Linked DNA regions of Elephas maximus indicus. Each later gene encodes a partner of the first gene's protein in a complex. Links are inferred from orthologs where the notes say so. Each region holds a gene or a part of one and is shown on either strand. Other genes may lie near its edges. The genes, in order: ABCC9 and KCNJ8.

Region 1 (10,833 bases):
TTTAAGGGTACAATGCTCAAAGCAGACATACTTTACTAATTTAGATAAGCTATTTTTTGGTTCAAAGAAGACTTCAGGGGATAGTTTTGGCTTAAGTTTTAAAGTTTCAAGATTATCTCAAAGCAATAGTTTCAGGGGTTCCTCCAGCTTCAGTAGCTCCAGAAAGTGTGGACTCCATCAGGAATTTGGATTCTGTTCTGCATTTTCCCCCTTTTGATTAGGAATCTTCTTTAGAATCTTTGATCAATATGTTCAGAAGGATGTCTTTTGATTGAAGTAGATGAGGTGAGAGAGGTTAACAGAGGGCAAAATGATGCAGGGCTTTGAAGGCCATTTCTGAGATGTTGGCTTTACTCTGAGTGAAATGAGGAGTCACTGAGGGGTTTTGAGCAGAGAAGTGACATACTCTAACGTACATTTTAAATGGATTCCTCATTGCTGTGCTGAGACATATGATAGAGGAGTTGAGGTCTGCCAAACTGGAGGAATCCCTGAAACTATGGCCCCAGATGCTCTGCTAACCCAGAACTGAAACCATTCCTGAAGCCCACTTTTCAGACAAAGATTAGACAGGCCTATAAAACAAAAAACATGTGAGGAACATGCTTCTTAGTTTGATCAAATATATGAGACCAAATGAGCAGCTCCTGTCCAAAAGCAGGATGAGAAGGCAGGAAGGGACAGGAACCAAATGAATGGAGACAGGGAACATGGGGTAGGAAGGGGGAGCATGCTGTGACATTGTGAGGATTGCAACCAATGTCACAAAACAATATGTGTATAAATTTTTTAATGAGAAATTAACTTGAGCTGTTAACTTTTTCACTTTGACCTAAAGCACAACTGAAAAAAAAAAATTCTAATGTGACACTCCAGCAGAAGTTTTAGCCTTCTGAAAACTTCTTTTATAATAATGCTTATCATTTATTTAAATAGGAGGCTTGGTGGCACAGTGATTAAGCACTCGGCTGTTAACTGAATGGTCAGCAGTCCAAGCCCACAGCTGCTCCACAGAAGAAAGATGTGGCAGTCTGCTTCAGTAAAAATTACAGCCTTCCTACTCTGTCTTATAGGGTCGCTATGAGTAGGAATCAACTCGACAGCACAGAAGAGCAATCATTTATTCAGCACCTATGAAATTCTGGGCACTTTGTATACATCATCTTACATTCTCAGAACCACTATGCAAGATGAATAATGTAATTCTCATCTTACAGAGAAGGATGCTGAGGTTCACATAGGTTCAGTAATTCGCCAGCCAGTAGACAAGCCAGGATCCACACCCACAAAGTGTCTGACTGTATACTATGTTCTCTCCACTGTATCACAACACCTCCGGCCTATTTTTTTAAGAAAATGTCTTCTCTACTTCTATTAAAATAAGTACCAGCTTAAGATTTTAACGTCACTGGACTTTGTTTCTTTTCCATATTTATGGCACACTAGATTCTGAGTTAGATTATTAAAAGTTGGCAAAGGTTTGATTAATTAACATAGTACCTTTTCTCTCTTCTCTTTCATTGATAACAGATTTAGCAATGGTCATGAAAAATATTTTTCCTAGAAGAAACAACAACAAAGAGTGTTACACACAGAAGACTGGCAGTAGTAGGTAAACTATTAGAGAAATTAAATGTTAAGTGAAGGTTTAATAAAACATATGAATAGAACTAGTTAGACAACTGTTTAAGTATAGTTTTACCCTGAATCTCTCTCACATAGTATTTCTGATAAACCCTTTTATTGAGAAATCATTTTTGTTATGCTTTCTAATTGAGACCATGTCTCATTTAAAAAACAAAGTTACAGTTAAACAAAAAACTCAGTATGAGGTTATATATTTGGTAAGTATTTACAAACTACTGAAGTCCTAAGGTGGATAAAATAATTAGAAAAGACTTGAGATAAAAAAAAACAGTAAAATACAAGTTATGAATAAATATTTGCATGTTAGATGCATTTCTGGTAAAGATGGAAAAAATAGCAACAAAAAAATAATTCCTAGTAATGAAATTTTTCAGACTACTTCCTTTATTTAGTAGAAATGATAAAGGGAAAATTTAAACACACTCTTAAGTGAAAGACATATATAAACTGTTTCCAAGTATGAACCGACAATAATTTTTACTTTAGTTACTTTTATCTAAAATTATAATACTCCAAATGACCGTATTTCTAAACCTTGATTTTTAATCATTATCAGTGAGCCAATGATAAAGAATGCCCTGAATTTGCATAATACATTCCCCATTACCTATAAACATTACCTGCCTAGTATTTTAATCACACCTAAAAACTACCATTAAATAACATTTGAGTAAATGTTCTGTAGCTGTGGAAAGACACTTTCAGAGAAGTACAACACCTGAAAAAGTTTAGGGACATTTTCAGCCATATACCAGATGTCTGGGATTCTAGGCCATTAATTAATTATGAAAATACTTATTGGGTGTTGACCATGTGCTAGGCATTGGCAATCCATTAGTGCATGAGACCACACTAGTTACAACAATTCTTGGTATAATGTAAATATATATACATACACACACATACACTTACATATATATACCTTTCCATATATATATATATATACACACACACACTCAAATAGACAATATAATCACACCAAGGGGTCTACCTCAAAGTTTTAGATTGATTTCTTCCTTCTCCCACAATCTCTAACCTCACATTTCCCCCAGGCTCCCAACCTGGTGGCATAGTAGTTAAGTGCTACAGCTGCTAATCAAAAGGTCAGCGGTTTGAATCTACCAGGGGCTCCTTGGAAACTCTATGGGGCAGTTCTACTCTGTCTATAGGGTCGCTATGAGTCGGAATTGACTCGACGGCAATGGGCAATGGGTCCCAACCTGTCGGCTTCCTCTCACCACATCTCCCCTTTTGCTTTTCCTCTGCCTCCTCCTCTTCCATCCTCTTCCCCTTGAACCTTAGCTTCCTTCTCCAACACCCAGTGTGTGTGGCACCTTCTAACAGCTACACTACATTACAACCCAGCGGAAACAAAAAGAGGGAAGGAATAAACTTATTGCATATGTGTTGATAATTCTCTGTGTTTACCGAAGGTCTTTTATTCAGTCAGGATTTCTAACTAATTCTTAAATCTCCGACTGCCATTCAGTGTTTCTCTCCCAGAGTCCATGTTAAGTTAATAATGCTTTTTTGGGAAGGTTATAAATTGCTGCTACTGTAAGCTAAACTCTGTCACTTGACATCGTTCAGCCACACCCCTTCGGGAGCTGTCTGGATCAGCTAAGCACTGACAGAGGCCCAAACAGCAAGGGGGAGGGAGAGGAAGAGAGGCCATGACTTTTTTCTTCTCGGAAAGCATAAACCAAGACATTTAGGTGTTTATGACAGTCTACAGGATTGGAGAACTTGACCGAATGGACTATAAAGACAAAGATAAAAATGACACTTTTATTACAGGAGTGGTCTGCAGAGCAAAGACATAAAACAAAAATACTCTGAAACCAAGCACTTGATTTTATGGCAAGAATACCAACCTTAGTATTCTTATTCCTTGAGACGCATCGTACGAGGTTCCACAGCCCCTAGGATTTATAAATTTTGGGTCTAGTTGATGAGTAATTGGCTTCTCAGCTCTGCTGGCTCCTCCATAAGGGAGGAACAATAATGGTCAGATTTAATTCTAAAAATATGGTCAAAGTGTTCAAGTACATCAGATACATCACTTATTTTTGTCAGCCCTCTTCTCTGGTAGTAGAACTGTAAATAAAATAGGTGAAAACTAGCATTCTTTCACTCAGCAGCCAGTGACAATTCTCATGGAATACTAATCTCAGAGAACCTAAAAAGCTTGGAAACACCTGAAGAAAACGTGCTAAAGGCAATGTAAAAGCTTTTCTTACATGTGAAATCATTCATTCTTTACTTATTAAATTAACCAAATTCATGCTATGAGAGAGAAACACGACATTATGAAGGATTTACTCAGTGCTTTATCAGTACCTAGAGCATTTTTTAGGATGGTGACCACTTGCAAGCACAAATGGTTTAATAGCTTCTTTGGAAGAGCCATCGGCCCACAGTTCATAAAATATGAACTAGTGGATATCTGTCTATCATCTATCCATCCACTCATCTATTCATCCACCCATCTGTAGCAGGTCCACATAAGAAAAGTATTAGTAAAAATGACCACTGACTTCTGATTTACTGCTAATTTGAATCCACCCATTCACTCTTCCGTGGCTGTGAAGTTCTATGCACACCAAAGGAAATGTTGGAACTACTCAGCAGATAAGATCCCTTGGACAGACACTGCAACGGGAATTTTTTAAATCCCAAACTAAGCAAAGCAAAACATAAATACCACGGGCAATCGCTTGACGCTGCCTGAAACCCCTAGGCGTGTACTTTGCTACCTTCAAAACACAGGCTTCCTACACTGTTTTAGGACGTATATTTCAAACGTGGACCCAGAGCTCCTAAAAAAGCAAAGCGTTACAAAAAATTAAGCAGATAGAAAGCTACTTTCATGAACAATACAGGAAATGTCTAAGAGAAAAAAAATTAATAATAACCCCTTGTTCTGTTTCCACTTGGTTTATGTGGAAGCCGGCAGCCTTGTAAGTAAGGCTGGAAATCTGATCCTGTCTTCTCAGTTCTGGGGCCCGGTCCCTTCATTCTAGAAATAACGATCGTGAACGCGTAGCGCTGAGAGAGTGCTCCTGCGGCTTTTGGTTGCCGAAATGTTAGATCACAACAGATAGTTCAGAGTTATTCTTAATTTTTAAAATAATATTTATGTAAAAGACACGGACTTACTTACTCCGAAGGCAGAGTTTTCCTTCCCTAGTCGAAGCACGCCGGGCGCCGGGGCGGATTATTTTTAGGGTGGTGGGAGATCAGCTGCTGCCTCCTATCGAGTTTCTCAATTACACTGACGGCTCTGGGGCCGAGGCGGACACAGCGACTCTAGCGAGGCAGGAAACTGGGCAGAAGCCCCGCGCAGCGCCTGGGACTGGAGACCCTCCCCACCCCCGCTCGGCCCCGCATTCGGCGCACTTCAGCAGCAAACTCCCGCCACGCCAGGCAAAGAGTTCACGAACCCAAATAACGTGCGTCCCCCAAATTTCATTAGACACTGACACTTGCGACATGTGATTCAATGATTAACCAGAGCCGGGTTTTCATCGTCAAAACACGCAAGGTACTCACTTTATAGGTATGTATATGTATTGTATGTTTTGTATTTCCATTCCCATGGCTTAAAGTGGATTCCTACTCCTAGTGACCCCATAGGACAGTGCAGAACTCCCCCCTAGGGTTTCCAAGGCTGTAAATCTTTAGGAAGCGGACTGCCACATCTTTCTCCCTGAGGAGTGGCTGGTGGGTTCCCATCCCTGACCTTTTGTTTAGCAGCTCAGCGCTTTAACCACTGCACCACCGGGGCTCTTTATGTTTTGCATACTTGCTTTTATTAGCCACATATGGAATCAGATTTGGGGTTTCGGTTTTTCTGTTCTTTTTTGTTTTTTTTCTTTCTCTCCCCTGGGCACACTGTGGAAATAGAGGGCTCATGCTAAGTAGAGGAACGCGCTGCCGGGCTAAATTATCGCTTGCCAGGATCTCACAAGAGCAACACAGGGTCAAGCCGAACATTCCTTCCCCCGCTCCGGAGACCCGAAAAACTGGGTTACTGCTCCCAAGCCGCCGCGCTACCGAAGGGAGACCCTTACCCCTTACCCAGGCTTCCCGAAAGAGGGACTTTGGTTCCACCGGCTGCACACGCAGTTCCCCCCTCCTCCTGCCGCCAGAGAAGTAACTCTCCAGGAGATACCGTGTTTAAAATACGCTCGCTCCATCCTAACGCCCCCAGTCTGCAAGTAGTAACCTTTGGCCTCCGCAGCCAGGAAACATCTTTAATTAGCACTCAATTTTCTCAGGGGCTACTTCTGAGTCAGCTTGAAATAATTATTATTTTCAGCAACTGGCCTAACCAGCAGGACTGGTGCTCCCGGACTCGTCGCGTCCCCCAGGGGGCACCGCTCCAGGACCTGAACCCTACACTGGGTGGATCACGGTCTGTACACAGAGGTGCAAAACGCAGCCTGCCCGCCTCGCTGACCTTGAGAGCAAAGGTCGACACCCCTTCTGCATCGCAGGGGGGTTTCTCCGCGGGCGCCTCGCTTACGAAAAGGTCGCTGCACTCCTGGAGCAATGACCGCCGTGGCTGGGGGGCTTGAACCTACAACCACTAGGAGTCTGCAAGCTCACATAGGGTGGCAACCGGGAGGGTCCATAAGACAAAGATTTGGCGGCCTTTGAGCGCTTGGCAACTTCACCCTGAGTGAGACTCTTGGCCGCGACGCAGGCGCAGGGAGAAAGGAACTAGTTTCAAGAGTGGGAAGTTCGGCGCTGGGCATGGGACCTGGAGACCGAATGAACAAACCACAAGGGGGGACAGAGGATTATCAGGGCATCTACGGAGAGAGCACAAGAAAGAGGAAGGTGACAATAATCCCCAGATAGAAATCCTATATTTGACTGCACAAAATAGAGCTGATGGGAATTTTTTTTTCCATAGTACTTTGGGTATTCTAATGATAGTAAGTCACGATTACTACGGAAAACTTTTTGTTGTATTTTAACAAAAAAAGGAGATATAGTGCAATAATTAAGAGTGCAGACGCTGGAGTCAGCCTGCAAGATAAAAATTCTGCTACCCCACTTATTAGCTCAGTGTCTTTGTACAATTTGCTTAACCCTTCTGTGTATCAGTTTCCTCATCTGTTCAATGGAATAAATAAAGGTATATGCTACAGGGTTGATGTGATGGTAAATGAGATAGTGCCTGTGAAGTGCTGAGACAATGTGAGCGCCCTCGGTAAACTCTGAGTAATAGTTATCGTTTTTCTATATTTTCTATGCATATTTTATAGTCTTGGCAATCACAACATAATTTATCTCCCCATACTATCTTTTAAAACAATTTTCTGATGGTATGTTAGATCTTCACAGATATTATTCAAATGGCTGCATAATATCCCATTGTGTAATATACCAAAAATTTAAAACCATTTTTCTACTGTTGGATATGTAGTTGCCAAATTTTCACTATTATATATAATATACGGAAACTCTGGTGATGTAGTGGTTAAGTGCTACAGCTGCTAACCAAGAGGTTGGCAGTTCGAATCCACCAGGCGCTCCTTGGAAACTCTATGAGGGCATTCTACTCTGTTCTATAGGGTCGCTATGAGTTGGAATCCACTGGACAGCAGTGGGTCTGGGTTTTTTTATATATGTATATATATCATCCAACGGTGGACTTTGCACATCAAGCTTTTTTCCCCCGTGTGGCAGATAATTTAAGATACACTTAACTTTTTAAAAAGAAATTATATTAACTTACCAAACTGTGTAAGATGACCTATTTCACTGATACCCAAACCATCCACTCCCCATTGCCGTTGAGTGGATTCTGACTGATGGCAACCCTATAGGACAGAGTAGAACTGCCCCCATTGGGGCTCCAAGGAGCAGCTGGTGGATTCGAACTAGCTTGCTGTAGCTCTTGCTGTAGCTCTTAACCACTGCACCACAAGGGTTTATTTAAAAATAAAGCAAAATTACTGTAATATGACAGATAACATGCAATTCTTTGTTATTGACATTCAACGTTTTTTCAAATCTTCATTCATCTTTGTATTTCATCTGTGGTGAAGGTTTGTTCACATTTGTCCATTTGTCTTAATGAAGTTTATCATCTGTATCACTTTTAATGAGAAAAGTATAATACACCTTCATTTATATACATATAAAAACCAAACCCATTGCCACTGAGTCTATTCAGACTGATAGCAACCCTAAAGGACAGAGTAGAACTGTCCCATAGGGTTTCCAAGGAGCGCCTGGTGGATTCAAACTGCTGACCTTTTTGGTTAGCAGCTGTAGCTCTTAATTACTATGCCACCAGGGTTTCCTTATATACATATGATAAATATTTTCCCGATTTATCAGTTAAAAAAAAAATGGTGACGCTCCCAATTGTTTTATGCATTCTATAAAACATTTATTAGAGCACATACTATATGCTAGGTCTCGTGCCAGGCACAGAGTTCAGTAATAAGACAGACCTCCAGAGTCTCTGCCTTTTTAATGCTTCCTTCTAAGGAAAAGTTTATGTACAAAGATTTGTTGCTTTATATTTACACAATGCATTCCAATTCTTTTTCAGTTTATAAATATTAGCTTTCCGTTTTTATTTGTTGAAAGGTATTTTTAAATTTGATTCCAGAGTTTGTTTTGGCATATGCCATGGGATGAAAATCTAACTTAACATTTTTATCATTACACCAACACAATTTACTGAATAATCTTTGTATTTATTTTTTCCCTGATTTATAAAGAGAAAAAAATTGTAGTCAAGTCAATTCCGACTCGTAGCATCATTATAGGACAGAGTAGAATTGCCCCATAGGGTTTCCAAGGAGCAGCTGGTAGATTTGAACTTTTAGGTTTGCAGCGGAACTCTTAATTACACCACAACCAGCAACTTTCATAATATATATCTAATTATTTTATAGTAGTATCTGTGTATGGGCTAACTATTTTGGTCAATTCATCTGTTTTTCAATTTTTTTTCTGTTCTGTTCCTATGATCAGACTAATTTGATTGTCAATGCTTTAAGTTATATTTTAAAACCTGGTAGTGCTAGTCTCCCTTTTACTCTGTTCAAAACGTTCTTAGCTATTCTGTTTTGGGGATTTTACTGTAATCTCATTAAATCTAGGAAATAATTTATAAATATGTTTTGAGTGTTCTGTCTTTTCATCCAAAAATATGGTTTCCCATTTATTCAAGTTTTCTTTATAACTCAGTATTATGTCTGTACATTTCTTGTAAAAATTAGTAATAGAGTTTCATTTTTGTTTTCATATTTTGTGCTGCTATTAAGAATACATTGGAGGTGAGGCCAAGATGGGAGAGTGGTCAGACGCTTCTGGTGATCCCTCTTACAACAAAGACCTGAAAAAACAAGTGAAACAATTATATTTATGACAAGCTAGGAGCCCTGAACATCAAAGCCAAAGTTAGAAAATGGGTTGAGCAGCAGGGGGAGGGAGAGACAATTCAGAAGTGGAGAGGAGTTGCCAGACCTGACTTGGTGGGAACCCTCAGGCACCATTCCCAGGAGTGACTGTGGCGGGTTGGTGGTAGCTTTCCACCACAGTATCCTCAGGGAGAAACAGCCAGCTGCACAGCCTACTCACACCTCCAGAACCAGAGACAAATGGCGATCTTGGCAAAAGCTAAGTACTTGCATATATTTTACTGTGCCCCCAGCCCTCAAGCCAGCATCAGTGGCTGTCAATTTCCCTGAGCCTAAGATAGGTCCCACTGAGCATTCTGAGCCATTCTCCCTGCCTTGGAGAAGGAATAAATTCACAATTAGGGGAAAAGATAATCTGTCAGCTCCACTAACCTGGGGAGCTCAGAACAGAAGCAGCTCCTGTCCAGCCATAACAGTCCATGGACTTTGAATACCTTTTCCGCCTGCACAGACCTGTTTCAGGAGAATAGGCCCTTGTTGGCAGACTGCAACTGCAGCTGTTTCATCTGTGCAGTGAAGAGGTTCGTGTTTGATGTTTGACACTGCTTTGCTGATTAGACAGGATCCTCACCTACCCACATCAGAGGCCTAAGGACTGGTGGCTCCACTCAGGTCACCCAGCCACCCATGACACAGGTCCAAGGATAACTGCTACCTCCCAGTCATTACAACCAAAAGCACTGGTTGCCCATGGTCCATCTGCAGAACCCACCCACCTGTGCACTGCAGGGAACAGGGTTGCGCTTTCTTCACAGACACTTGGGGGATGGTTGTCACCCCCCTGCCTTGTTCAGAGCGTGACCCCCTGCTGCAACCAGATGCCTGTACCTACACCAATCATGCTTGCTCCTCTAAGACTATAGGACAGGGCCTGTACCACACACTTGATGACCAACTCCTTGGACAGCTGAGCTGAATCCATACAAGAAAAGTGAATGGGCTCCTAGGTTCATATACCTGATAACAGCTCTATTCATCTGGTGACAGGACATTAGAGCTTCAAAGGTTAATCAAGCTAGCTCACTCAAGCAACCCACTTGGGCATATCAAAACAAAACAAAGCAAGAAGCTGGGATACAATAAGCAAACATAAAATAAACTAATATAATAACTAATAGATGGCTCAGAGACAACAGTCAATATAAAATCACATAAAGAGGCAGACCGTGATTGCTTCAACAAGCTCTCAAAAGAAAGAATCTAGGGATCTTCTGGATGAAGGTGCCTTCCTGGAATTACCAGATGCAGAATACAAAAGATTAATATACAGAACTCTTCAAGACATCAGGAAGGAGATCAGGCAATGCACAGAACAAGCCAAAGAACACACAGATAAAACAGTTGAAGGAATTAAAAAGGTTATTCAAGAACATAATGAAACATTCAGTAAGCTGTAAGAATCCACAGAGAGACAGCAATCAGAAATTCAGAAGATTAACAATAAAATTACAGAATTAGACAACTCAATAGAAAGTCAGAGGAACAGAATCATGGAAGTGGAGGCCAGAATTAGTGAGATTGAAGATAAAACACTTGGCACCAATATATTTGAAGAAAAATCAGATAAAAAAAATTAAAAAAAAAATGAAGAAACCCTAAGAAACATGTGAGACTCCATCAAGAGAAATAACCTATGAATGATTGGAGTACCAGAACAGGGAGGGATAACAGAAAATACAGAAGGAATTGTTGAAGATTTGTTGGTAGAAAACTTCCCTGATATTGTGAAAGATAA
Region 2 (10,833 bases), about 170 kb from region 1:
TGACTCCAGTTACTTTCAATCTTTATCCTGCTTTATTTATTTATGTAATAGCTCTTACTACTGTTGATAAGTATGTAATGTATTACTTCTTTACTATCAGCTTCTTCCCCAAGCATGCATGCTCCCAGGGGACAGGGACTTTGTTTCATGTACCTAGATGCAAATTAAAAGGTAGTTCTTGTTATTAATGCCACCCTTCCTGGCCTTACAGATTCACACCTGCGAGCTGGCATTAAGTTTGAGGAGTTGAACATGCAAGCTGGACGGAAGTCTTCTTCATTAGTGGTTCTGATGGATGTCTTTGAAGAAATGGGGTGACTCTTTTAAAGGAGAGTATGACATTTTTCTGCTTAAATAGATACATATCTAAAAACAAAAGTTCTCTGAACTCATTGGAACAGATAACTAAGAGTTATACTGTCATTCCCATTTCATGATAAGTCCAAAAAAGTGAATTTATAACATGCTGTTTTGATTACTAGTTTATGTAACAGTTTTATTAAGCTGATTCCAGAGCAATATGTGCCACAGTGGTTTATATGAGGACACTAATAAAGCGGCATACCAAGCAAATAGACCGACCATTATCTGGGCTGTTATCAGGAATCGTTTCCATTCTTTCTGAAGATTCTCCAAATTCTGAAAGTCTAATACTGCTAACGGAATCCAAGAGTTCGAAATTCACAAATAGAGTCAAAGGCAAGGTTATCAAATGCAAGGACTTCACCCTTTATCTCATGAGTACTTTCAAGGACTTCAGTGATCTGTATTTAGTAGTTGAAACAGCACAGACATTTGGGGAACGCATCAACCTAATACTTTCTCCACTTGTTTGAAGGCACCTGATAAACTATGTTTCTTAGTAGAATGAGAGTTGTAGAAGATCCTTTACTACCAAATAAAATGGTCACAGAGGAGGCAAACAGACTCTACTCCCACGTGAACCAAAAGCCAAACCATACCCAGTGCCTTCAAGTTGATTCTGACTCAGCAACCCTATAGGACAGAGTAGAACTGCCCCATAGAGTTTCCAAGTAGTGCCTGGTGGATTCCAACTGCCAACCCTTTGCTTAGCAGCTGTAGCACTTAACCACTACGCCACCAGGGTTTCCCCCAAGTGAACAGATATCCTTGAATTGCTTCCCAATTGCATAAATTTCTCTTGTATGGGACATGAGCAGATTCTGATAGGATTCATGAATAGTCAAGAAAGTCGTAAGAGAAAATAATGTCAACTCTGTTCTGAACTTATTACTGGTATCCTGTAATAGCGTTAACCAAATTAGTCTTCACTCCTAAAAGAACAATTAGGAAAATTATAGAACAATTAAGAAAACACAAGTAACTTTTAGGGGACAATAGCAAAATAGTGATTAAAGAAGTAGACAAAAATAAGCCTTAAGAGGTAAATGTGCTCTTGAAAAATTGATTTCCACAGTAAATTTCTCACCAGAGGTAAATTTAAATGTTCACTATTTGAACCATAATATGTCTCTTAGTTATCTAGTACTGCTATAACAGAAATAATGCAAGTGGACGGCCTTAACAAACAGAAATTTATTCTCTCACAGTCTAGGAGGCTAAAAGCCCACATTCAGGGCGCCAGCTCCAGGAGAATGCTTTCTCTCTGTCGGCTCTGGAGGAAGGTCCTTGTCATAATCTTTCGCTGGTCTAGGAGCTTCTCAGTGCAGGGGTCCTGAATCCAAACGATGCACTTGCTCCTGGCTTTTCTTTCTTGGTAGTTGGAGGTCCCTTGGTCTCTTACTCACTTCTCTCTGTCATATCTCAAAAGAGATTGACGACTCTAGACACAACCTAACTTGTAGACTGAGTCCTGCTTGATTAACACAACTGCCTCTAATCCTGCCTCATTAACATCATAGAGGCTAAGCCAAGTTGACATATACTTTTGGGGGACACAATTCAATATATAACAGTATGAAAAGAGGAATGTCAGAAGAGGGAAGCTAGATATCAATCAATAATAATGATTGAGTACCTACTGTGTACTCAGAAAAATCTTTGAGAAACAAACCCAAACAGGTCTGTTTCCACTAAACTCACAATTGTTATAAAGAAAAACAGGGCCAGAAAATGCCAAATGACTTCAAGTATTGCTGGCCTGGAGTACTTAGGGGGGTTGCTGAGGAGGGGAGAAGGTGGGTAGCTTGAAGGAGGAGAAAAAAAAAAGGAGAAGGATATGTTAAAGAGAGTATGGGGGATGATGAGTAAAGGATTCTTTGCAGACAGCTATGGTCACAGACTTCATAGTGAACTACAGATTTCAAGTTGTCTATGTGGGTTGTGAGAAATGGCTGCAAAAATCATGAAGGGAGAAGAGATGAGAGTTGGAGTAAATGCATGAAAAAGAGAAACACTGTTGCAAGCACTATTACTTCTTTCTTTCATTGGACAAGTATTTACTGAGTATGTGCTACCAGGAACAATTCTAGACACTGGGTGTGTGGTGGTAACAAACAATTTGTCCTCACAGAGCTCCCACCCAGTGCAGACAGCTAGTTAAGGGAAAAATACACAATGTTGGTTAAGGAAAAATGTCAGAAAAGAAATGGAAGGAGAAAAGAAATGGAAAATTTGTGATATTTCAATTCTTTATCATTTTTCTCAATGACCATTATTTGTTTTTAGTCATTCTATTGTCAAATAATTCACTTATTCACTTCTTAAAATTTCACCTTTATTATGTGTATTCTTAATACCCTTATTCTGAATATATAATTAATTTAAATTAATTATTTAATCAACTTAAAGGAGAATGAGGCTTTTCCATTTAAATCGATACATATCTTTAAAAATATATATATAATATGATATACTAAAAAATAGATCATAGCTTGCCATATCAAAACAAGTCAAAAGTTGACTTGAAATTGCATATTTGGAAGAATATATCTCATTAGAAAAAAATGAGTCTTAAATATGTATAATCACAAAAGAACAGAATTTTCATATAATGTAGATATAGATTTATTTGTTGCAATTTTACTCGTAAATTCTCCTCAGCAGCTCATCTCCCTAAGTTTAATTTTCCTGCTATTTTTCTGCCACCATCATAAATACCTTAGTCACTTCTGACTTTTCCCTTTTCCAGTACTGACTGTGCAACATTCCTTTTGTATATACTTGCATATTGCCCACTGCCATTACCTATTGGCACCAGAACTCGTTCCCTTTCTAATGAATGTAATGGTTTCTGGTGTTCCCCCCTGCCAATCATTTTGGAGCTCCAAGAGACTCAGAAGTTTAACTTTCAAATCCATCCTACTCTCTGCTTCAGGATCAATCTTCCTGAAAAAAAAAAAAAAAACCCAAACCATACCTGTTGCCATCAAGTCGATTCTGACTCATAGTGACCCTACAGGACAGAGTAGAACTGCCCCCATAGAGTTTCCAAGGAGCGCCTGGTGGATTGAAACTGCCAACATTTTGGCTAGCAGCCTTAGCACTTAACCACTTCATCACCGGGGTTTCCAATTCTCCAACAGGTGGTCCTTTTTGTGTAGCTCTCTGATCAAAATCTTTCCTACCATCTTCAGAAGGCTTACCACTTCCTACTGAAGACAGTCCAGACTCCTTTGATGAGCATTTTCTATGACTTTCTATGCATTTTTTTCAAGACTCCAACATGCTTCCTCAAGCCTTATATTTTCCATTTATTGATTCAAAAATATTTTTTGAACACCTCTGTAATTCAAGCTCTGTTAGAGGCTTAGGATACAAAGGTGAACAGCTCACAACTCTGCCCTTTAGCAGTTCTCAGTTCTGTGAAGGGGAAAGACAAGTATATGAACAACCCGGAGGCTCTAGGTGGTGAAAATGGTTAACTGCACTCTGCTGCTAACTGAAAGGTTGGAGGTTCGAGTCCACGCAAACACACCTTGGAAGAAAGGCATGGTGATCTACTTCCAAAAAATCAGCCATTGAAAACCCTATGGATCATATTCTACTCTGGCCCACGTGCGGTTGCCATAAGTCAGAATCACTCGCTGGCAACTGGTACGAATAATCACTACGTGGTGAGAGAGAGGCTGCCCAGGGGACATTGGAATTAAGAGCCCCATCCTGCTATCTCGCTGACTTTGCTTCATCAGTGCTGATTAAATTAGTTTCTGTTACGAAAACATGGCTCACTGTTGCCAGTACTCCATGTCTTTCTTCAGGCTGTTCCTGCTCTGTGGAATGTCTTTTTTTCCATTTTTGTGCAGGCCCCAAATATATTAGGTCTTTCAAAGACTAGATCAGATGTCAAATAATCCAGGAAGCTCTCCTTAGTTCCCTAGTCTTTATCTCTTGTTTATTTCCTTTCCCTTTCTAATCACATTGTTATTTATATTAGAGTTTATCAATGTTTTATCTCTCTTATTATGCTTGTCTAACCTCTTAAGAGCAGCAACTGTGATTTATATATTTATATATTCCTAGATACATGAACCTAAAAAAATGTGATAACTTTCACAAAATAGATGTTCAGTGAATGTTCCCTGAGCTAAAATAATAGACAATAAATTGTATACCAAACTCAATTGTAATATAGAACAATGATTGGACCGACTATTCAAATTGGTCCCCACAGACTTGTTATAAAACTAACTGCATAAGTTATCACATAGATTAACATCAGTAGAGAGGAGAGCTGCCACTAACAGACTAGACCCCAGGCTTGAAGGGGTTAAGCAAATCTATCCACAAAGAGGAAAAACGTTCCTTTGCCTTCATTAAAGACTAATTTTAGGTCTTTTAGTAATTAGATGAACACATTGTTTATTCTCCATACACTTTCGGCCTCGAGTCTTGGAAAATACATAAAATTTCCAAGAATTAAAGTTTCCATTAACACAAGTGCCAAAATCACAAGGCTTGACCTGTGGGAGAGAAAGCACATTTGTCTTTGCTGGCTCCTTCTCAAAAAGCTATAGAAGGATATTTACCGTATAACCTTCCTTGTGCGTAATTGCTGTTTTATCATTCAGACCATCTAGACAAGACTGAGAAGCTGCAACATTTTAGAAAACAAAGAATTACTGAGCAATGACCGTTTGCGTGCTAAAGCGTTGACAATTGTCCCTGTTTGGGGTAAAATTTCTTCACTGGAACAGACTGGGAATATTTTGCTATTTTGTTTTGGTTTGTTTTCTGTGTGCGTGTTACTGAAAACTGGCTTCGGCTGCTGAAGCAGTAATTTCCGATAGTGGGTTTCAGAACATCTTCCACCTGTATGTCACGACTACAGGGAAATTTAATGTACATCAATGCGTGTACACGCAGCTTGAACACCTCCGAAGAATATTTTCTGACCTCTCTATTTGGTTTTATTCAATCTGAAACAACCCAGTTGTCTGTCCAGGTTACAAAAAATAAATAAATAATAAAATACGGAATAAATTCTCCTTACGTCAGTGAACTTGGACTCAAAAAGTTCTCTCCCCAAGCAGGGAGCCTTTTAAAGATGTGTGTGTCAGCCGGCGGCAGGGGGTCGCAGCTACTGGGAAAAGAGCTGGCTCTGCGGGTCCCGCCCTCCCCCAGGGTCGCCCCTCCCCCTGGCCGGCTCCCTACCTCCCCAGGACGCGCCTTTTGCCTCCTCCCTGCACGCCCCAACCTCGGGCACTGCGGCGGCCTCAGAGGCCTGGCGCAAGTCAAAGCCAAAACCGGGAGGCCGATTTGTGGAACAACGTCCCCAAGCTCCTCTCCCCCCAAGCCCCTCCTTCGCCCACTGTATCTGCCAAGAGAGTCAAGCTGAGCAGGGGGAGGGGAAGATCTACACCCATCCCCCTCCCCCCAGCCCTCGGGGCAGTTAGATTCAATTACACCTTTTACTATTTTATCTCTTCTCTTTAGACCACTCGGCCCCCGGATCTGTCCTTTCGCCTTTCGCGGCCCCTGCTCCCGCGCGCCGGGATGGGAGAGCAAGGGACCTGCCGGCGGTCGGCCGGCGTGTGTGTGAAGGTCCAGCCGCCGCGCCCGCTGCCCGGAGTCTGTAAGTTTCAATGCTCCTCCGGGAGAGGGGAGGGTGAGGCTTTCCACATTCCCGCAAATGATTTAAAATGCAAAACACAGCATAGGTTTGCAGTGTTGGATGGATTTTTCAAACATTCTACTATGTGTCTGCAGCTTGTAGGCTCTTGTGGGTGTGATCCCTTCGTTGTAAAGAAGTTTTCAAGTTATAATATTAGGAGTTTCATGGGATACTTTTTTGTCTTTTTTTTTTTTATGCAACTCAGACTTCCTTCAGATTTAAAATAATTATTCATAACGTTCAAGTTACATAGCACATCGTTTATTATTTTGTCAGATTACACTAAACATGTTATTTACACTGCGCAAGAGTCCACGGCCTTTTCTTTGCCTACTTCTAAAAATAACGGAGAGAGAATTTCCCTTCAGTACTTTTAATATTGCTGTATCATCTGAATGCTTTAATAAATAGATCCTACTGCACTCTGGCCTTAAATTTTCATCCTTGACACTTCGAGCTGGTATCCTTGCCCTAATCTACAGATGTGGTTAACTCAGAGAATTATCACTGAGCCTGCTGTTTACATGAAAGCTCCTGGTTTTGTTTAACTACGGCTACATGTGTGGAAAATGAAAAGGAAAATTAAATCAGTTTACCGATTCAGACTAAGTAACAATTTCTCTGGGATCCCAGAACTCAAGCAAAAGCCAGACCCGTGTTTAGATTAATTAAGTCACACTTTTAGCTTTGCATGCCACCTTGTATGTATAGATATGCCCCTGAATACAAGACTGAAGAAGTGAGGAAATGATTTTATACCTCTGTCTATAAAAACGTCTATATTATTATTATTGTATCATTATTTTAATTATCGTTTCCCTTGTGCAGGAGGACGGGTCTTGGAAGGAGGCAGGTCAGAGGCAGGTGGATAGGCTGGCTATGGTGGCAGGACGATGTTGGCCAGAAAGAGCATCATCCCCGAAGAGTATGTGCTGGCGCGCATCGCCGCGGAGAACCTGCGGAAGCCGCGCATCCGAGACCGACTCCCCAAAGCCCGCTTCATCGCCAAGAGCGGGGCCTGCAACCTGGCTCACAAGAACATTCGCGAGCAAGGACGCTTCCTTCAGGACATCTTTACCACCTTGGTGGACCTGAAATGGCGCCACACGCTGGTCATCTTTACCATGTCTTTCCTCTGCAGCTGGCTGCTCTTCGCCATCATGTGGTGGCTGGTGGCCTTTGCCCATGGGGACATCTATGCTTACATGGAGAAAAGTGGAATGGAGAAAAGTGGTTTGGAGTCCACTGTGTGTGTGACTAATGTCAGGTAAGAATGCAGTAGGACTGCACGTAGCATAGTCAAAATATTATATTGCCTTTCTTCTATCACTCTCTTATTGAAAGTGAAATAAAAGGTTTGCTTTAGAAACAAACAAAACAAATAGTAAGAATAATCTAAGATGTTATAAATCTTTTAAAATGCAGCATTATGGCTAATGAGTCTCAAAGTGTGGAACTTCAAGCCCTTGGATTTGAAAATTTTACACCAGTTACTTAAAAATTGTTGTGGTTCAAAAAAATTACACAGAGCACTTACACACACACACGACCTACACGTTTAGTTTTCAGCATAAAAAACTGCTGTCTATAATTCCAATGTCTACAAATAAATATTTCTGATCAACAAAAATTATTATGCAGATGCTGGTAATATTTTTCCCTGGTGTCTCTTATCCATTACATTTTCAGAAATAGTGAGAAAAAGGAGATGGCACTGGTCGGACAGGGTCCTAGATTAAAAATCTACTAAAAATGAAATAAATATAAAGGATATAAACCCTGCTTTATTATGATTATCTTAACAGCTAATTCCTTGCACTGGATTCTGAAATTAAAAGTTATGTTAAGATTCAGAACTAGAAAAAAAAATTTTTTAATGGAAATTGGTCCAAAATTTTCATGGAAGGGATAATATAGAAGTGAGTTGATGTTGGACTCTTTCTTTCAAAGACTTAACAGAAAAAGGAGGGAACAGTTCTTAAACTACTTTACGTTTGCTTTTTCTCTTACTAGTATTTCAAAGACAGGTAAACTGAATTTGTTTCCAGTGAATCTCTTTTCATATTTTAAGATGATCTAAGAATATTTGGCTGGAGTGATCTGTATCTTAATTTATTTTGTTGGAATACTGAAAAAGATAATTTATATCTATTGCAAAAACATTTACTCTGAAGCAAAACAATAGTAATAATAATGGAAAAATTTCCAGGACATTTTCTGAATTATGTGCCAAATTCACATAGTGCACAAAGAAAAGAAACTTGAACAAGAACCATACTGCCAGGAAACTGTAAAGAATGAATGCTTTACTGACCGTGGAATCTTATAAAGCTAGCATACCGCTGCAAGAACCAGAAACCCAGGCTATGACCTTGTCCATGCTCCCATTTCCTAAGTAACTGCAGTGCCAGCATCCCATAGAGGAAAGCAACATTTGTATGTAGAGAGAGGACACCACAGATTTCAGGAGGAGAGAATACCAGATTGACTTGATCAACTTACTGCCTTTACCATTGAGTAAATATTATTTTCTTTTCAACACAAACTTTTGTTTCAAAGGAAAATGTAGGTGATCATCCCAACATCAGTTACCAAGAAAACCATTAAAATACTGTACGAAACAGGTATTTGAAGGTCAAATATCATTTTCTATAATATTTCTCTTTAGGATACTTACTGACACTGGGATTGGTGAATCATTTTCATATCAAGAGAAATTGTTGGTAAATATGCAGTAAACTTATTGCCGTCAAGTCAAATCCAACTTGTAGACACCTAAGAGGACAGAGTAGAACTGCCCCATAAGGTTTTCAAAGAACAGCTGGTAGATTCGAACTGCCGACCTTTTTGGTTAGCAACTGAGCTCTTAACCACCAGGGCTCCAAATATGCAGTAGCCACTCTGTAAAAAGAGATAAAAGAAACTAAAAAGATAATCGTTGAAGATAAATGACAGATTTTATTCACAAGACAAATATATTGCCTTTTTCCTTGAAAATGAAGTCATTAAGCAGTTTATTAAATACGTAAGAATAATATTCTTCCAATAATTTTTTAAAAGAACTTTAGAGTGTCTTCTGGTTATTAAAAGCCATTAGCTCTTATTTTTCAAATAAGATGTGACCTGAAGCATGTTTATTCAATCCCCAGATGCACTCCTGCTTATGTGAACATTAACTATGATAAATGCTGAAAATAAATAGCACAGCAATTTTAGCATTTTAAATTGCAGCTCCTTCCTACAAAAAAATTATTTGCTACCTTTAAAACAAAACAAAACAAAAACTCACCGCCATTGAGTAGATTCTGACTCACAGCAACCCTATAGGACAGAATAGAACTACCCCATAGGGTTTCCAAGGAGCACTTGGTAGATTCAAACTCCTGGCCTTTTTGGTTAGCAGCTGAGCTCTTAACCACTTCTCCACCAGGTCCCCTTGCTCTCTTTAAAGTTGTTCTATTCAGGTCCCCTTGCTCTCTTTAAAGTTGTTCTATTCTTACTGATTTTATTTCAATATTGTGGTACTATTGATACTTCAGAAACCCTGGTGGTGTAGTGTTTAAGAGTTAGGGCAGTTAACCAAAAGTTTGGCAGTTTTAATCCACCAGGTGCTTCTTGGAAATTCTATGGGGCAATTCTACTCTGTCCTATAGAGTCACTATGAGTTGGAATCGACTAGAAGGTAACCGGTTTGATTTGGTTTGGTTTATTGATACTTTGGAGCCCCGGTGGCACACTGGTTAGGAGCTTGGCTGCTAACCAAAAGGTCAGCAGTTTGAATCCACCAGCCACCCTTGGAAACCCTATGGGGCAGCTCTACTTTGTCCTGTAGGGTCTCTATGAGTCAGAATCGACTGGATGGCACCTAACAACAACATTGATACTTTAATCTCAACATACAGTTTAATCACAAGAAACCTTACCAAAAAAAAGTCACCAAAAATATAGAAACAGAAAAGTCTCTGTGCCCTCCCAAAAGGAATTTAAAATATGGCTAAAAATGATTCGTTAAATTTCCTTTCCTAAATTCAATGTCCCGCCACTTCATCAAGAGAAACAACTTTTTAAAGTAGATACTCACCAACATTTCCAAACAACATTCTACACTCTCGTTTTACAGTGGCTATCTTTCCCCTGAGTGTAGGTGACTCTCAGAGTCAGAAAGTAAAGCAGCATTGTTTCCCCTCTCTCATTATGATTCAGCCTCACTCTCTGTACCAGAACAAAAGAAGAGCTAAACACTTTCATCTGTTGGCATTGCTTAGTATGATACTCACCAACTGCCGTTGAGTCAATTCCGACTCATAGCGACCCTGTAGGACAGAATAGAACTGCCCCATAGGGCTTCCAGGGCTATAAATATTTACAGAACCAGATTGCCACATCTTTGTCCCAAAGAGCGGCTGGTGGGTTCGAACTTCTGAACTTTCAGTTCTCAGCTGAGTGCTTTAACCACTGCGCCACCAGGGCTCCTTTTAGAAATCAGTGTGTCTGTGCCCTTCCTCTGGAGTCCGTTCCTATTCTTTGCCATAGTTTTGCACCATGTGGCATACCTTGTTTTAAATAGCTAGTGCAAGTAGCAAGTAATGTGGTTTCCTATAAATCCTTAATTCAAGAAAGAAAGAGAAAAGGCAACTTTCACACTCCACTTAAAGGCTAATCAAAACAGTCATTTATGCCTGCTCCCTTACCCCCTCCTGGCATCCCAGCAAGGTGCGTTGTGTATATTAAGTATTCAAATGTTTTAAAATTTTGCTCACTCATTGTGTGTGACATTAAGGAATGCTGTCATTTGATGA

The links.
Region 2: the proteins of ABCC9 (region 1) and KCNJ8 are in contact, whole or in part, in a cryo-EM structure (PDB 7MIT), measured with the Rattus norvegicus proteins. The link is inferred for Elephas maximus indicus from reciprocal best matches to the Homo sapiens genes ABCC9 and KCNJ8. Residues at the interface, in XP_038963045.1 of Rattus norvegicus: Phe5, Ile10, Tyr13, Asn14, Ile15, Val19, Asn22, Cys24, Phe25, Ala28, Leu29, Val32, Val35, Phe36, Phe39, Phe42, Pro43, Ile44, Phe46, Ile47, Gly48, Trp49, Gly50, Ser51, Lys55, Gln57, Ile58, Asn129, Phe130, Lys132; in NP_058795.3 of Rattus norvegicus: Met1, Leu2, Lys5, Ile7, Ile8, Pro9, Glu11, Tyr12, Val13, Leu14, Ala15, Arg16, Ile17, Ala19, Glu20, Asn21, Leu22, Leu45, Ala46, His47, Lys48, Asn49, Gly54, Arg55, Phe56, Leu57, Asp59, Ile60, Thr62, Thr63.

The regions. Positions count from the first base shown.
Region 1 is NC_064822.1:80,545,355-80,556,187, forward strand, and holds the start of ABCC9 (ATP-binding cassette sub-family C member 9), read right to left. Parts: upstream 5,885-10,833; 5' UTR 5,728-5,884; intron 5,359-5,727; exon of another isoform or gene 4,807-5,358; intron 3,745-4,806; exon of another isoform or gene 2,868-3,744; intron 1,561-2,867; 5' UTR 1,501-1,560; intron 1-1,500. UniProt on the Homo sapiens protein: Subunit of ATP-sensitive potassium channels (KATP). Can form cardiac and smooth muscle-type KATP channels with KCNJ11. KCNJ11 forms the channel pore while ABCC9 is required for activation and regulation.
Region 2 is NC_064822.1:80,375,762-80,386,594, reverse strand, and holds the start of KCNJ8 (ATP-sensitive inward rectifier potassium channel 8), read left to right. Parts: upstream 1-5,556; 5' UTR 5,557-5,995; intron 5,996-6,862; 5' UTR 6,863-6,927; coding exon 6,928-7,301; intron 7,302-10,833. UniProt on the Homo sapiens protein: Inward rectifier potassium channels are characterized by a greater tendency to allow potassium to flow into the cell rather than out of it.